4 linked regions of the Arabidopsis thaliana genome follow. The protein of the gene in region 1 interacts with the protein of each later gene in a pairwise test. Each region holds a gene or a part of one and is shown on either strand. Other genes may lie near its edges.

Evidence for each region.
Region 2: the proteins of WAT1 (region 1) and AT1G61620 interact in a protein complementation assay, tested with the Arabidopsis thaliana proteins (one large-scale study listed by BioGRID).
Region 3: the proteins of WAT1 (region 1) and AT5G44960 interact in a protein complementation assay, tested with the Arabidopsis thaliana proteins (one large-scale study listed by BioGRID).
Region 4: the proteins of WAT1 (region 1) and AT5G66080 interact in a protein complementation assay, tested with the Arabidopsis thaliana proteins (one large-scale study listed by BioGRID).

Annotation. Positions count from the first base shown.
Region 1 is NC_003070.9:28,337,193-28,342,268, forward strand, and holds WAT1 (Walls Are Thin 1), read right to left. Parts: upstream 3,084-5,076; 5' UTR 2,900-3,083; coding exon 2,685-2,899; intron 2,588-2,684; coding exon 2,525-2,587; intron 2,448-2,524; coding exon 2,331-2,447; intron 2,072-2,330; coding exon 1,651-2,071; intron 1,557-1,650; coding exon 1,405-1,556; intron 1,292-1,404; coding exon 1,090-1,291; 3' UTR 996-1,089; exon of another isoform or gene 590-995; 3' UTR 534-589; downstream 1-533. UniProt on the Arabidopsis thaliana protein: Required for secondary wall formation in fibers, especially in short days conditions. Promotes indole metabolism and transport (e.g. tryptophan, neoglucobrassicin and auxin (indole-3-acetic acid)). May prevent salicylic-acid (SA) accumulation.
Region 2 is NC_003070.9:22,735,567-22,739,992, reverse strand, and holds AT1G61620 (phosphoinositide binding protein), read right to left. Parts: upstream 2,519-4,426; 5' UTR 2,341-2,518; coding exon 2,102-2,340; intron 1,478-2,101; coding exon 784-1,477; 3' UTR 550-783; downstream 1-549. Other genes in the region: AT1G61610 (S-locus lectin protein kinase family protein), read right to left, coding at 3,484-3,792, 3,890-4,037, 4,126-4,363. UniProt on the Arabidopsis thaliana protein: RING-finger E3 ubiquitin-protein ligase that plays an major role in maintaining COP1 homeostasis in darkness. Negatively regulates COP1 protein accumulation by targeting COP1 for ubiquitination and subsequent proteasomal degradation in dark-grown seedlings.
Region 3 is NC_003076.8:18,152,228-18,155,924, reverse strand, and holds AT5G44960 (F-box/RNI-like/FBD-like domains-containing protein), read right to left. Parts: upstream 2,074-3,697; coding exon 1,459-2,073; intron 1,384-1,458; coding exon 1,156-1,383; intron 1,077-1,155; coding exon 936-1,076; intron 801-935; coding exon 534-800; downstream 1-533. Other genes in the region: AT5G44970 (Protein with RNI-like/FBD-like domain), read right to left, coding at 1-88; AT5G44950 (F-box/RNI-like/FBD-like domains-containing protein), read right to left, coding at 2,761-3,036, 3,122-3,262, 3,361-3,697.
Region 4 is NC_003076.8:26,422,706-26,427,336, forward strand, and holds AT5G66080 (Protein phosphatase 2C family protein), read right to left. Parts: upstream 2,744-4,631; 5' UTR 2,327-2,743; coding exon 2,005-2,326; intron 1,949-2,004; exon of another isoform or gene 1,936-1,948; coding exon of another isoform or gene 1,926-1,935; coding exon 1,558-1,925; intron 1,415-1,557; coding exon 1,178-1,414; intron 1,103-1,177; coding exon 872-1,102; 3' UTR 539-871; downstream 1-538. Other genes in the region: AT5G66070 (RING/U-box superfamily protein), read left to right, coding at 1-38, 206-328; AT5G66090 (cell wall integrity/stress response component), read left to right, coding at 3,126-3,291, 3,520-3,656, 3,733-3,790, 3,884-3,961, 4,057-4,250. UniProt on the Arabidopsis thaliana protein: May dephosphorylate and repress plasma membrane H(+)-ATPases (PM H(+)-ATPases, e.g. AHA1 and AHA2), thus influencing negatively plant growth and fitness.

The sequences.
Region 1 (5,076 bases):
GCTATATATGATTTAACTAATGGATTCAAATACGAAATCTTGAATCCACATGGTAGACTAACCTATGCCAGATAACGATTATGAGACAAAGTCGCTTATGCACTGTGTTTTTCCTTATGTATATGAATTTCTTTTGTTAATGAAATTTATTTGTATAAGGTAAATAAGATATGAAATTCTGTTAATGAACTTCTTGTTTACATCAAATTAAAAGATGATATTTTATATGTAAAAAGCTGACGTGTAAGCTGATCCGAGAAAACCAAGAAAGATAATGTAGAGCATTGAAGTGTATATGTGAAATTTTTAACACGTTCTCCTTAAAATAATGCTTTTATCCGTCTATTTCAAACAAAATTCTAATATTGGACCAAAAATTATATATCGAACAACACATCTTTCTCAAGTTAGCTAAACTTTAATACCATGTTAAAATCTATGGACTTTCAACTCAAGAATTGGTCCATACTATAACTTAGTTGGTCCATATTATATTATATATATTAAATGTTGGTTTATTTTTAACTTGTTCATTCGGTTAAGAATTTTTATTGGATATTTGATAATAAACTAAATTTGTAAAAAAAAACTGTTTCTTTAAGAGATCATTTTAATCAAATACTAAAGATCTTTTTTTACTTCAGTTCAGAACAAAGCGTTTGATCTAATCCATTTTAAACATCCCCGACAGTGATAATTACTAAAGATCATAAATGCAAATTATAACATTCTATTGATGATAAAGGAAAGAAAAACCCCACAAGAAATGTAAGAAAAAATGGCACTAATATATCAGCCAGATATTATATATAGAAAAGTCTCAATCCAAAGCTCCCACATAGTCTTCTTCATCACTATCATCATCATCATCATCCTCATGAACAATGATGTCTCATCCACCATTTTTTTTCCTTTCTTCAAAAACCTTTCTTAGGTAATTAATAATTTTTTAGAAAAAAAAAAGAAGAGAAAACACTAAGAAAAAAAGCAGACACAAAAGTCATAAAACACAACGGCACACCATTGTTCCCTTTTAATTGGGTAATGGCATTTGTAATTATTAGCTGGAGAGTGATTTGTCCAAAGTAGTCAAACATTGTCCGTTGACTGATGGAGTAGTGGTGTTGTGATGGACGACTTGATGGAGTTGCGAGAAACAGGTGCACGTTCAATACCATGCTCCGCGGAGGACTGGATCGCTGCCTTCTCAAGCGCTGCAAATTTCCTCTCTTCGCTCTTACCGTACAATACGAAGTAAAGTCCCGCTATGATCAAGACCGCTCCAATAATCCTGCCATTAGAAATATGACATGTGGCACAACAAATTTTAAAATTATTCTTGTTTAGGACCTTGGATTTTATCAAGTATTTATATAAACCACTAATATTATTATAGTTTCATACCCGCCCAAATAAAATTCTTCGCCTAACGCAATAGAAGCCATGATCGCAACGACAAGAGTCTGAACAGGCTGGTAAACAGCAACGAAGACTGGACCCCCTCTGTCAATACACCAAATCTGAACCGCAAACGCGATTCCAGACGCTACGATTCCCTGAAGTTAAATCAATTCATTAGGACCAAATTGATTATTTTGAAACATTAGGGCCAAAAACGAATTAATTATAACAGATGAAAGAAAAACTAACGGCGTAGAGGATGGTGAAAAGCTCCCAACCGGAGTGAAAAACCCAAGCCTGAGAATCTCTTTCACAGAAAGCAGCAATGATCAAGAACTGAATGATTCCGAAGAAACAAGTGTAAGACGTAACCGAGAGCCTCGCTGGATAAGACTTAAGAACCGGAGCTTGGAAAACAAGCCAGCCTGACCACGAGAGACAGTGACCGATTAGGTAGATGCAACCAAGGGTCCAGTTTTTAGGCGCGGCGTTTCCTAGCGGCGCTAAGACGGCGGAGTTTGTGGTGAGTAGATGAGCGTGGAGGTGGCTAGCCGGAGTGTAGATGGTTGGACCTTTATAGAGGGTGATGACGGAAGCTCCGGCGACACAAAGAGCTGTTCCTAAGATTTTGGAGATACCGTCTCTTCTGTTTATTCTTACTTTCTCAATCCTGAATTATTGTTTTTTTCACATACAGTACATAAACAGTATGTTACATTGTTGTTACTACTATGATTATCACTATTTTGTAAGCAAATGGAAACGGCATTAAATATTGTCTACGTGTATTATTATCCGTTTCTTTTACGTTGAAAAGTCAAATGGACATTATTAAAGTGGTTCTTGTATATCCAAGCTGTCCAAAATATTGTTATTTATTTTTATAAATCAAAAGAGAATGAAAATGGAGAGATGTGTAGAGTAAGTGCCTGAGAAGAGCAGCCATGAGAAAGGTAATGGCGGGAACAGAGTTTTGCATGGAGGAAGCAAATGTTGGTGAAGTGTTGTCCAGTCCCAACAAGTAAAATCCTTGGTTCGCTGTTATTCTGTCGTGTAATAATTCATTAACTAATTATCCAAATTTGTTATTGAAAAGATCAGAGTGAAGGATATAAATATATACCCTATGAGTGCCAAAAAGAAGAACTGGATGAGAAAGTTGAGAGTAATCGCTGGTCTCTCCTTCCTAAATTAACACAATTAAGTTTGGTAATTAAATAACTAGCAACTAGAGAAAAAATAGGGTTTTCAAATAAAGAAGTGAAGTGAAAATAGAAGGTTACTTTTCAAGGAAGTAAGCGAAGGGAAGGAGAAGAAGCAAGGCGATGATGTTACGATAAACAGGGAAGACGAGTTTGCTGATTCCCATGTTAAGAGCAGCTCGAGACACCACGTGGAATCCGGCGTAACCGAATTGCAACGTCAGCATCGCTATGTGAAGCTGAAGCTTCTCCGGAACTCCCCATAAGGATCTCCGATTATCGGTGTTATCCGCCATTGGATCGAGCTTAACAATCGATCAACGAAGGAAAAAGGCTGTGTGTGTGTGTGTTTGTGTGTGTTGATTGAGGAAAAGAGTGAAGTTGCGGAGATATAAATATAGGTAGATAGCAATCTCATTCCCCTCTTTGCTTGTGGGAACCACCATACTGAGATTTCTAATATGGTATCTATTAAACCTAATTATAACAATGTGAAATATTGAAATATATATATATATATATATATATGGATTTAGGTATATTAATGAGTTTTTGTTGTTTCCTATCATTTGATGTACACACCAAATATTGTTACTTTGGTCTACTGGCAGCATTCACTCCTTGATTATGATTTTTGAATTGGGAAATAAAATTTTAATTTATATTATTATTTCTCTATTGGGTTATATCAAGTATGATAATAATATAGGTTACTTTTTGTTTTACTATTATTACGTTCATTATTATTTTGTTTACAAAGCACACACACAACATAAATATATTTCAGGGAAAATCGCAAAAGGAGAAAGAAAAACTCAACGTATGATAGTTTTACCTAAGAAATATGATTTCTTTTGAGATATTAAAATAAACGATTGTGTTTTCGGATTTTCTTGGAAAAAAAAGACTCTTGAATTGAAAACTATCATACACTATTCTACTTAGCCTTATTGGAAACTATGACCACGTAAACAAAGTCGGGTTAAACTTATAATCAAACACGTTCACATGCACTTACCGTTACCAAAACGAGATAATAAAGTGACAACGTCTCACTAAGTCACAACTTCACAAACATTTTGTGGATGTTGGTACATCTCATATGTTTTAAAATCAAAATTTGAAGACATTCCCAAAATTTTGGACACTATATTTAACATTTATCATCAGCTTTTGTTTCACAACATGATACATTGTTAGTTAATTATATGCTTTCAAAACAACCAACTTTTCATTTATTGATTTCTAACAAGAAGAAACGACTATGAAGCTGTTGGTTAAATCTAAATCGATTAAACAAAGGGCCCGCAAATTTTTAACTGTGTACTATAGTGTTTTTAGAAAATAAAGAAGAGAGCTTAAAAATGTGTAAAAGGGCAAAGCCTGTCTCCCACATTCTTTTATTTTTCTGCTGTTTAGCTGACATGACAACCCTCACGCCACTACTCATTAACGCAACCATCATTATGATTCTTAATTTTTTGTATATCTAAAATCATTTAATTCTGAAAATCAAAAAGGTAAAAATAACAATAGAAAAAGCACAAAATATATCATTATTTACGACTCTATTCCTCAATTTGCACTCACTATCGTAGACATTATAATGGTTTTAGTTTGTCCTTTCCTTTGATATTTATTGAGCAGCATGGCATTGCTACTAATTATTACTTGTACAGTATAGTCTTCAGGAGAATAACACTCTTAATTATAAATGTACGACATTTCGTTTTAACATCTTTTATTTACTTTCTTTTTTGGTAAATATATTTCTTGATTTTATTTATGTTACATAATTAATTTTGTAGGGACGAGCCCCACGCGCACTGCCGAACCGTGAGACCCACAGTACCTCTTATTTCGCAGGCACACCCACACGATCAATATTTATGTACACGCTTACACCAATATTATTATCTGTATTTGTCCTCAATTATTTTAGTTTTATTTTTCTTGTTAATTTATTTTAGTTCTATTTTTTTGTGCTCATCGAATAGACGTGTGTAATTGTTTTCCAATAGTCAAATACATTTGTATCCCTATAGAATAGAATCATCGAAAATTTTATGGTTGCTTGCTTGTATATGCTTTCATTTTTCTCTTTCTTTTTGTCTTGTTATTTTTGGAGAGATCGACAATGTAAACCCAGAGAAACCAATTTAGTAAATTGTACACAGAAACATGTGCATATCCACGTGAAAACAAACCAAATATGTATTTTTCTTTCCTTCCACGAATGTATCACGACAAAAGAAATATCATGGCAAAAATTGTTCATGGAATATTATTTTGTCACAAATCTGTTTTAGATAAACTATATGCAGCAACATGTAAAACATAACAAAATATAACAATATGGAATTTTCATTACTTCATTATATTCCATTTCTATTACAAAAATCTTTTTTTTTTATGAACAATAACAAAGATATTTACCTTAACATTTTAATACATCTAGTTAAACTTAGTTATA
Region 2 (4,426 bases), 5.6 Mb from region 1:
ACAATTATTTAGATTTTAATTATTGAAAATTAAACGTTAACATGAACAAACAAATAAAATGTTTAAATACCAAGTAAATATATATGAGAAGAATATTTGTATGAAAAATATATATAGTCAGACAATTTGGTTTTTTACACTTCTATAAAAATTTATGCAAAATGAGACTTACATGCAAGACTTGGTACTAATAATCAAAAATGGTGAGGATTGTGTTCCATGCTAGTGCTACAAGTTTTCTTATTCCTAGGATACAACATACCACCACTACTTTAAACTTACCCTAGTCCATATATTCACCCATCATAATCCAAATCAATTTTAATTTACATTGATGAAAGCTAAGCACATTATGTAAATTTACTAACCTGGAGCTTCCTTGTGATATTCTGTGATCCTAAACGTACGTATCAGCCACAACTACAAGAGAAATTGAAACAAATAATAATACGGGGATGGACATTATAAACTGAGATCGTAACAACCTGTCTTATGTTTGAGATAATTTATGGGCCAATATTTTGAACAGCTCATTGATCATTTCTATCTCTGCATGTTCATAGCCTAAAAGAAGAATATTTGAATTGATCAATTACTTAAATGTTAAATTTCCATTTGATCTCCGTAGGGAAGAAACACAAATAGGATCCGATCAAAAGGACAAACCAAGAGCCAAAATGGAGAAAGCAGCGTCTCTTAGTTGTAGCAAAGGATACAAGCCATAAGTATTACAAAATCAAGGATATTTTCTGTAACTGGAACAGAACATTTGATGTGGTTACATCATGTCTTAACCGGCCTCACAAGCCCCAAACCAGATCCACTACCCAAATGCTTGTACTCCTTAGCCTCAAGATGATCGTCGTGCTCAGCGAAACCCGTGCCTCCTTTCTTTAACCCAACCAAGTTCCTATCCTTGCAAGGTTTGTCACACACAAGACAGACTTTGTCGACGGGCATAAACTTCTCAGCACACTTCTTGCAGAAAACATGTCCGCATGAGCTAAGTGCCACGAGGGACATTGTGTTGGTGAGAGTGACTTTGCAGCTCGGGCAGATGTAGGATTTATCATAAGAGCTTGAAGATGCTGATTTTGTCTTGGTCTCTTCCTCTTCGCTGTTGTCTTCTGTGAAACGAATTGCAAAGAGGTTCTTAAGCTTGAGCTTCTCTTTGCCCTCTGGACAGACTGTGTGAGTTTCTGGAGCATCTACTCTGACCGAAGCTGCTGGTGTAGCTGATGGGAGCCAGAAGGCTTTCATTGTCCTAAGCGCTTCTTCTTCAAAGGAAGTCGTCTTCACACTGTTTGCCCCATGAAAACCATTCTTATCTTCGTTGTGATTCTTGTCACTGTTTCGAGGCATTGCACTATGGTTTTGCTGATCAAATTCGTCGAGCTCTCTCGCCTTTTGTAACATTAGCCTCTCTTCTTCTTCATCCTTATCTTGCTTCTTTTGAGACGAATGTGCAGCAAGCCTCCTATAGACATCTCAGCACTACATATCAGTATCTTAAATATACAGAGCAAAGATAAATCAGACACAAAATCTTTTTAAAATATGTAATTTTAAAATTCCCAACAGGTCCTAACAAGTGAGGAGAGTCAGCTCCAACAGTTTCTACACCGGTGGTTATTTATATACAAACTCAAACAATCATATGCAACCATAGGCTAACCCTGAGACCCGTACTCATTAAACCCAAAACAGAAGCATCAAAATCAACTCTAACATTACTTTAGTTATCACTCCATACGTTTATCCAAGCTTTCATGCCAAAACTCAAGTAAAGTTACCAGCTTCTCCTTCTCAAAAACTGTGGGACTAGTAGTAACAAAACCAGTACTCCTTTAAACAAACACTATTCAAGCATTAAATATCAGATCTTTGTTATCAGAGTGATGCTAAAGAGACTTGATCTAATCCATGACTTGATCTAAGAACCTCAATCATCCAATTCACACCAGATTCATGAGGAATTCAACAATCCTATATAGATACTAAAGCTAGAAACTTCAATCACAAATCCAAAGTGTTTCATAAATACATAACAAAGGAACTTAAAGTTCCAAACTTTTGAAAGAAAACTCCAAAAAGTTTATACCTTTGGATATCTTTCTTCTGAGCAAGGAAACATTCAAGTATACACTCTCTGCAAAAGACATGACCCTTATGGCAACACATCGGATCAATGAAAGGCTTCAAGCAGAGAGAACAAGCATCAAAGGGTTTGATCGAGTCTCTCCCCAATCTCTCTCTCTGAGTTCCATAACCTAACTTCTTCTTCTCGTCGTAAGTGAAATACGCAAGATCATTGTTGTTCTTCGAGTGTCTTTGCGGCATATTGGCGACGAATATTGAATTGGGGGTAGGATGAGAAGACGAGTCAGGTGTCTGAATTAAGGATCCAAATCGGAAACCCTATTTTCTCAGATTGGAGAAATTGGGGAATTGAGTTTTCCAGTGTTTCGTTCTCATGTAAGTCGGTGATGGTATCACAGCCTTTACCGTCCGATATGAATCTAATCTAACGGTTCCTAATTATTACCATTTGTTTTTTTCAGCAAGAGTTATTACCACTTTTTTGGTTATGTTTACTAGGAGAGATAGGTAAAATAAAATCTTGAATAAAGGTTTTGGTGTGATTTGTATTAAAATCTTGTGTTATTCAAACATGAATTTAAAAAGTTTGTAAAACTCAAGTGTTATTGGATTATTAATTTTAAAATGTAGAATCAAATCAACCAACATTGTTCACAAATGAGAACTTAGTTATAAATGAAAATTTTCTCTTTTAAATAGGATTTTTACAAATGGGTGGAAAAATATAATTTATAATCAAACATAAAAATGTAGATAACTCCACTTCAAGAGTGTTGATTTCATTACTAGCCCTAGGGATGGGCATACCGTTTTTCGGTTTGGTTTCACTTCGGTTTTTTGGTTTTACGGTTTTTAGTTTTATAAAAGCTATAATCATATAGAAACCGTAAATAATTTTTTTTTTTTTATGGTTTTACAGTTTTTTAAAAAAGAAATATGTGAGATGTCAAAAAAAAAAAAATTAAGAATACAAATGTCCAAATCATATGATTTAAGGGAAGATTTTTATAAATTTAATAACAAATTTTCTAATTCCCTAAAATTCAACAAAATCATCTTAAAACTCATTAAATCTCAAATCACTGGAAATTCCTCCTTCGATGCCACTACCTTTGTCCATATTCCAACTTCTCCAATTCATGTTCGAACAACAACGCTTTTTTCTTCACAATTAAGTATGTTGTTGAGCTTCTTCTCTTTTGTTGCTAAAAGTATGTTGTGTACAAATCCGATTAGTTTTTCATCGTCAATGTACATGTATTATAATATTTTCAACGAAGAATTTAATTATGTATAAAAAGTTGAAAACTATGGAGAAAAGAGTTCGAGACCAAATGGATAGTCAAAGAGCGTTTTGGGGAAAAATAACTTCTGGTCAGTGAGTCATCTACCAACAATTGTTGTGAAAGTAACATCGTTAACGGAGGCAACATCGTGACCGTCAAAGTTGAGTTCAATGTCACCAGAGTTCAAGAACGAGTGGAAGGTCGGCTGTCTCGGGGGTGGAAGTTGACTGGTTTGACTCTCCAACATCAACAAAACCGAACCCATGTTTGGTCTGTGAATGACCGAGTCTTGTGTACACAACATACCCACGTGGATGCATCTCATCGCTTCCGTCACGTCTCTAGTGTCCTTCACAATTGGATCTATCATCTCTTTTGTCTTTCCTTGGCTCCATAAATGCCACGCCTTATTTTTTTTTTTCCGTTTAGAACATTCATTAGTAACAAATATTCGAATATTTTAGTTAGACCTGAAAATTTATGGTTAAAGAAAAGAGACGTACATAACCAATGAGACTTCCATGATCAGTCCCTCGAAAGCTAACGTTTTTTCTTCCACTCACAATCTCCAATATCAACACTCCAAAGCTATACACATCTGATTTCTCTGAGAATATCCCTTCCATTGCATACTCCGGAGCCATATAACCACTACACTTGTTGAACATCAAAATCATTAAAAATTGATAGAGTTCGATATTGTTTAATTTAGAGGAGATAAAGAGGTTTGTTAAGTTACTATGTGCCGACGACTCGGATTGTGTTGGCATGGTCTTGTCGGTAGTTGAATATCCTAGCCATACCGAAATCCGAGATCTTTGGATTCATTTCCGTGTCTAGCAAGATATTGCTAGCTTTTAGGTCACGGTGAATGATCTTTAGTCTTGAGTCTCTATGTAAGTAAAGTAATCCCCTCGCGATTCCTCCAATGACCTCCCATCGTTTTCTCCAGTCCAAACTTCCTTGTTTACTCTCATCTGCGCAGAGTCATTATATACTCAATCCGAACATTTTCAAAACATTTTAATTGAAATTGTTTA
Region 3 (3,697 bases), on another chromosome or scaffold:
TTGTCTTAACTGAATCTTTGGTTGGAAGCCATAAAAGAATCTGAGTTATCAAAGAATCTGGAAGTTCGCTGATTATATCGTTTCGCATTATGAGACGTAACCCTAAAAGCTTCTAAAACTACAATATCAAAAGGTGTTTTGCTCAGATTTCTCCAAATTCTAGGGTTTAAACAATCACAGGAAACGTAACGATCAAAGCAGGAATCAGAAGAACTCTCCGAATGAATAATAACGAATTGTTTTTTTTGTTTGTTTTTAATGTGAAGAACGAATTGCTTTTATATAGCAAATAAATTATGAATCCAAACCCTATTAAAATTTTCTTTAGTACAACTAGATAAATGGAAATTTCTTTTAGTTATTAATTAATAATATCTAAACTACAATTATTATATGTTGAAATTAAAATATTAATTCTTAAAGAAAAAAGACAAAAATATAATTTAACTGCGTAACTCTCTGTCCTGAGATTGAAACAAAACCAACAAAAGATGAAACAAGACCATGTGCTAACAAGCATCATCATCTGCATGTCAAACAAAGATAACTTGACATGTGGGAGAAAGCTTTGTTGATGTAAGAAGCTTCTTGTAGCTCTCGCTCTCTATAGAAGAAAAAAATGAGAAACGTAGAGTAAGTTTCTTGAGGACTGCTGAATTCTCAATAAAGTAATTTACTAGTTTAATCCCACTTTGCTCCATCATCATCAGTTTGTTAATGTGAACATACTCGAGAGTCGATATCAAACACTGAGGCACTTCGTGAAAGTCGATATTTTCTTCCTTAAATGCCCCATAGTCCTACGAAAAAATATGATTCAAACAATGTTCTGTAGCTAAATCACATATTTCAAGCAGATTCTTACAAAGCAGATGTCATAATATGTTCCAACAATATTCTTAGTTTGCCAAATTAAAGATCCATCAGATTCTTACCATGATTAGGTTTTTCAGATTTGGGCAGCTCTCAAGAAAGGTTGGCAATAGTTGTAACGATGTACCGAAGAACGAAGCCTGCAAATGATATAAGTTACGGAATTGGGGAATCCATCCTAGTTTGGAATAAGAATGTAGCTCCTGCAACAAAAAATACAAAAATTACATGTGAAGATATTTTTTTCATACAGAATTAAATACAATAAATTGTTAAATATACCTCTAGAATGCTCCCAGAAATGATCATATGCCTTACACTAGATATCACGGTTAAAAAATCACAGATAATAGCTCTCTTTCTTGGATCCTCTGCTTTCAAAAGACCGCCATACTCAAAACTAGATTTGGCTCTAATTTCGATACTAAACAAGGAACTCATGTTCTTTACCATAATCCTATCAAATCGACTCTCGTAAAATGTCATATACTTGAGTCGTGGAGCATCAATCTCAACTCAAAACTCTGTACCACTCCCATTGGTCGCAAAATATAAACGAAGGCTTTTCAGAGTCTGAGAGCTCACACGCAGAAACAGTATAACGTCCTGAGTCAAAATATCAAAAGGCTTAATCAGCTCAAGATCTTCAAGAACAGGACATCCTGAGATGAGCTTCTCCACAACCAAAGGGCCATCCTCACCGTAACAAATTTTCATCAGTTTCAAGATCTTGAGACAAGGTAGAGAAACAACAAAGTCTGGATTCTTCAACTCTACGTTATAAAGCTTCAAAGAGACCAATGTCTTGCTCTTGTAAATGTTTTGACGTATGAAATCAACTCTATTACAAGTATGCATATAAACATACAAATGTTGAATTCCACAATCAACCACTGTACCGATCAACTCCATGAATCGATCTCGATAACCATTGCATTCGAAATACCTTATCATGAACTTTTGCAGGCGTGACCTGCAGTTAGACTCCATAAATCTGTCCATAAACTTTATCAAGCCTTCTTCATGATGAGGATTTGTGAATTGAAGGCTGAATAAGTCAAGTCCAGGAACGTTTAACCAAAGATTTCTCCATCTCTTCGACGACACGCTTGTCTTAACAGAATCTTTGGTCCGAAGGTCTAAGAGTATCTGAGTTAGTAAAGAATCAGGCAATTCGTTGATATAATCGCACTCCTCCATCCCTAGATCCTGAACAACAACATCAACATCAAAATCGTGCGATGAGGAATGAAGAAATAACCGTCTCCGTCGATTTGATTTGACAGCAGATTATTGCCGGAGTTGGAGAAATCCTACTAGGCTTTGATTTGACGGCAGATTTGATTTGATTTGATTTGATAATTAGAAAGATGATCGTTAAATACTTGAATCGATCAGGTTCGAGAAATCCTACGAGGGGGTTTATCTTATTTTTGGGTTTAGGGCCAAAAGGGCCCTATAAAAAAAAACATAAACCAAAAGAGGACCAATGCAACTTACTTGCGGTTTACGAAACCTTATTGAAACCTGTACAATATATAATTTCGGCCAAAAATTGAAATAGTATAAGATATTAAGATACCTTGAGCAAAAGCCCATTATAGATGTAAATTCTTATTTTCTACTTCAACGACATACTTGTCCATGGTAGAGATATAGCACAGAACCGATTTTCGATGATGATCCAAAACAATAAAATGCATAGATAAATTGGCTTTTAACCATATGAATATTCCATAGTTTCAAAAATACAAAAAGACAATATTACCACCTGAGGTTTTAATTCCCAAGTTAAACCTAAACCACCTTGTCTATAAATGCAACTTTCTTAAGAATATAGAAACTGAGATTAAAGCAAGAAAAGTTGAATAATTTGACCTTTAAGCATTATAAGATCAAAACATGACACCCACGAGATCGTTTTGTTGATGTAAGAAGCTGCATGTAGATCTCTGACTCTTGGTTGGTCATGGGAGAATCTATGAAACTCAGAGTCAGTTTCTTGAGGACTGCTGAATTCTCAAGAAAGTATTTCACCAATTTAATCCCACTTTCCTCCCTCATAGTAAGTTGTTTAATCTCAACGTACTCCAGCGTCGAAATTAAACACCGAGGCAGATTGGTAAAGTCGATTTGCTCTGGCTCTGCTGAAATAGAATAGTCCTGCAAAGAAACAAGCTGAGTTTACACTATACTTCAACAAGGTTCTTTATTGTAAGCCAAATCACATATTCAAACACATTCTTACCAAGATGAGGTTTTTTAGATTTGGGCAGATTTCTAGGAAGGCGGGCAATAGTTGTAACAATGAGCTGGAGAACACAGCTTGCAAATGATATAAGTTATGGAATTTTGGAAGCTGTCCGATTTTGGAATAACGATAAAGCACCTGCAAGGATAATGAATATGATACATGTGAAAAATTAAAGTACATTTAATCAATGTGTTATATAATACATCAGAGACTTCAAATATATAGGTACGTACCTCCAGAGTAGGATGAGAGATGATCATATGTTTGACACTCGAAATACCGGTAAGAAAATCTCGGATAATATCTCTCTTAGTCAAGTCCTCCGGTTCCAAAGGACTGCCGAGGCCAAACTTGAGATTAAATTCAGTATCAAGGTCTATCTTGACCAAGGAACTCAAATTTTTTACAACTATTCTATCAGATTGACTATCTCTAAAACTCATGTACTTAAGTCCTGGTGCATCAATCTCGACCGAAAAATCGTTACTACCCATTCCCCAATCAAATGTTAAACGGAAGTTCTTCAAAGTTTGAGACATCACACGCAGAAAGTTAAGAAAATCCTCATGA
Region 4 (4,631 bases), on another chromosome or scaffold:
CCTCTCCGGAGATTGTCTCTTGCTCTGTCTGCCTTCAGGTTTGTCTCACTTCCCCCCTCTGCTTTTGAACATCATCTTCCGCGGAACGTAGATTAGAAGAAACCATTATATATTGTTGCAAAAGGTTGAGAGAGGTTCTAGATGTTTCTATTAGGTGACAAGTGGTTGAAAGACAAAATTAATTAAAATTGAGGTGACGAAACAGGACTTTCAGGTGGGAGAGACAGTTAGAAGTTTGCCGCACTGCCATCATATGTTCCACCTACCATGCATCGACAAATGGCTTCGCAGGCATGCTTCTTGTCCCTTGTGCAGAAGACATCTTTGAATTGATTTTGAACTCTTCTTTCTTCTCTTCTTTGTACATGAGGTATAGGCATACACACACACACATATATACACACTAGTAGTCTTCCTTGATTTTTTTTAGATTACACGTTACACAGATTTTGATGCACCAATCATTGTAACTTCACTCATCTCTTGGAGATCCTGTTTATTTATGCTACTTATTCTTGGCTTCATCATTCAAAAAGGACATGCTGCACTTCCCAATTTTAGAAAGTTTGGGATCGGTTTTGCATAGACTAAATCCCAAATGAAAAAGCATATATACATACATATCCTTGTCGTCGAAAACAATGCTCTACTCTTAAGAACTAAGAAGAGAGATAATACATTTTACATGAACTAGTCCGAGTACAAAAATATTTGGCATGAGATCCAACATGTCAATAGCTTCAGTTTTAAATTATACATTTCTTATACCAGGAAGAGTGAACCCAAAAAGACAAAAAAACATAAAGAAAGAAAAAAAAAACACATATCTTTGGTTGGATAAATATAACTAGAAGATGGATGGAGCCTGGTTTTAAAGTTTCTTAGGTAAAGTGATACCACCACCACGGATAGAAACAGAAGGGGTTTTAAGAGAGGAGGCTCTGCTGAGCAGATTGGTGTCCAGGAAGAGGACGACCACAGTGATGTCGTCATGGAAATGCCTCCTGACTCCTCTCTCAATCTTGTTGAGATCAGAATATCTCATCTCTCTTTTCTTTGCTGCCTCCTGCAGCGCAGCTTTCACCAGTCTCCTCGCTATCCCCTGCATCAGCATTCTCACATTTACTCTTTAGAAAAAATCATCTATATATGTTTAGAAACTGAGAGTGTCTCATACGTTTCTTGGGTGGTTCTGAACGATTTCAACAGCCTCTTGGTTGCTAAGCTGCTCCCAAAGTCCGTCTGATGCAAATATCAGAAACTGATCGTCTGGTTGGAGATCATGCACGGTTATCGACGGTTCCCAACTCAAGATAGGTCTTTTCATTGGCTCCCGCAATCGGTACTTTGTGTACAAAGGTTCCTTGTTGAACTCCGATTTCTTAAGATACACGTCTCCTATGGATCGTGATACCTGCAAACACACAGACAACTAAGCTTTCAAGATTTGACAAGTGGCCAACAATAATAGCTTATCCAACTCAGTGAAGGAACATGACATAATAATATTGGCTCAGATTTTATAGCATAAGAAGATCTCTTTGTAGAGAGCGGCACCTGAATAATGCCCTTAACACGCCAGACATTGTGTTTTAAGACGACAATATGGGAGTCATCAGGGTGTAAGGAGTGCATTTCCTGCCTCACAGACTCTATGCTCACGTTATGCTCAGCTGAGAGCTGAAGCGCATTAACCTCACCTGTGGCCTTGATGACCTTTCCCAAAACCGCACGGGAGTCCCCAACGTTAGCTACGTAAAGCTTCCCATCGCAGACCACACCGATCAGGCAACAAGAGCCAACCGCTGCTATATGTGGCTTCACTGCCCACTGCTTGGCCACCACCCCTAGAAACCCTTCTTCGGTTGCCTCATAGGCCTTTCTTATCACATCCACAGACATGGAATCCTGCTCCGCTGCGAATCCTGCAGACATGAATGTTCAGTTCCAATGGTTCCCTAGCTAAATAAAATTCAGTGGTGAGTAGTAACAACAAGTAGTTACTCTTGAGATGGTGAAAGAGATGATCGTTGACAAAACGGGAGGTCTCAGGGCCTCCGTGGCCGTCATAGACGCCAACAAAGGTTCCATAGGGACCAGAAGAAGAGAGGGTGGTCAAAGGACCGGATTCGACCTGGCTCTGATCCTCGAGGAGGTTGTTGGCCTGGACAACGGCCATGGAGAAATCACCAAAAAGGTGGTGAGCAGAGTCTTTGTACCAGAGAAGGCCGTCTTGTTTGCCTTTGGAATCAGAATAAGTGTGGGAAGTGGTGGAAGAAGAGGGCCAGAGACAAGAGGTCAAAAAGTTGAAGAAAAGGGATAACATCGGGCCTCATCTCATATCATCCCCAACCACCGATTGTTATGCTAAAATGAATGAATGAAGTATGTTGAAAAAACAAAAGAAGAGAGAGTCGGAAACTTCCATTCATTCACTCACACAAAGAGGAGTTTTGTTTAGTAAAAAAAGCAACAGCTGGATGGAGATCTCAAGGAGATATAGAGAAACTATTAAGTTGTAAGTAACATGTGTGGAGAGAGATAGAGTGAAAGAAAAAAAGAAAAGACTCTCTCTGTTTTTGATTTCAGATATTTATTAGGAACAGAACAGAGGAAGCCCTTTTCCTTGTATATGAGAACAGAGGAAAAGAAGAGAGACAATTTATGGATCACAAGATTTCCAGAGCCTCTCTCTCTCTCTCTCAAATAACTCTTCTTCTATATTTGACCATCAAAGAAAGGACAAGAAGACACACATACGTGTGCACGTGCACTCCTTAACTCCTCCCATGTGGGATTTACAAACATACAATAGCTGTTCTCATTATTATTATTTCCTTCTTGCCTTGCACCACCATTGTTAACTCTATTCAATTCAAAGTTTCAAACCCTTTGACCAATGCATCCCCTTATTGGGCTTTGATTATATGGGCCCTTTCTATTTGATATTTTTCAATATATGGCCCGTTAATAAATTTAATATATAGCTTCGGCCTTATAAGAAGAATTCAAGCCCCTCACCGATACTCTAGTCCAAGCCGTGGGCAGAACCAAAATAAGAGAACAAAAAAAAAGTTTGTTTTCTGGAATCGTCGCGATAGTTGCTGAACTCCGTCGCAACTTCAATGGCATCTGCTCACTCCATAGCCGCCGTTTCTGTTCTCGATGCGGCCTCCAAGCAAGCAACACTTCCTTCTTCTTCTTCTTCTTCCTCTGCGCTCTACCCTCTTTCTTCTCTTCGATCTAAACCTCGCCAGCAGCTTCTCTCCCTACGCAGTGTCGCTCTCAAAGGTATCTTCTCTTCTTTTTCTCTGTTTATTTGGAATACGAGTTGCTTCTCCTAAACGTAATAGTCCAATTCTACCTTTGTTGGGTACAGTCGCATTTCCAGTTTGAATTTTAATATAGTTTGGGACAACGAAGAGGGGAGTGATTCAAATTAGCACAATCGTAATGAGTAGTTGTTGATATGGTTAGTTTGTTGATGAGCCAACAATGATTAGTTTGTGGTTAGCTTAGGTCGAGTAAAGGCGCAGGCAAAAGAAGCAGAAGCTAGTCCAAGTCCAGTGGGAGTGGGAGACGCATTCAGTAATGTGAAGCATCTTCTCCTGCCGGTGATTGATCGGAATCCTTATCTTTCTGAAGGCACCAGACAGGTTATTGTTTAGCTTGTTATCTTTTTGAGAACATGTTGACACCAAACAAAAAAGCTGATTACACTTAATTTGATAGGCTGCTGCTACAACAACCAGCTTGGCAAAGAAGTATGGAGCTGATATCACAGTTGTAGGTAAGAACAATTAGTGTTGCATTAATATCCCCTTATGTATCATATGAATTATATAGCCGTGTTGATCATCTGTGACCACCGTTGTTGATTCAGTCATTGACGAAGAAAAGAGAGAATCATCTTCGGAGCATGAGACTCAAGTATCCAACATCCGGTGGCATTTGTCTGAAGGTAAAATTGAGGAATTACTTGTAGGAAATTGTAGGTAAACTATAGTGTTGGAATCCCTTATTGAAGAAAGGTTAACTATAATGTGGTGGTTGCAGGTGGGTTCGAGGAGTTCAAGCTGTTGGAGAGGCTTGGGGAAGGGAAAAAAGCGACGGCCATAATAGGAGAGGTGGCAGATGAGCTGAAGATGGAGCTGGTGGTGATGAGCATGGAAGCCATCCACTCTAAGTACATTGACGCCAATCTACTCGCTGAGTTCATCCCCTGCCCCGTCCTCCTCTTGCCCTTGTGATCGCTCCCGCCAAATGCTTATATGATAGACATACCACTTGTTTTATTTTTCTCTGTGTTTGGTTGCCGTAGAAGAGCATTACTAGGAGAGGGGATGGAAATGTGTCAAGGTGTGAGATGCATGTGTCAAGCATTTCCTGTCTTATCATGGTTGTTGTTGTTGTGTCCTTTGTTTTCTCCGTTACTCACATACTAACGTGTTCGGCCACAAATTAAAAAAAAAAAAAAAAAAAAAAAAAAAAAAAAAAAAAAAACTCAATTAGAAGAGAAAATCTTTTTAATCTTATCCCCTAATGAATTACTTGGTACATGTAGAATAGAATCAAATTACTACAGGAGGCTTAATAAACACAACTTATAAATTTGATAGGCACGTCAAAAG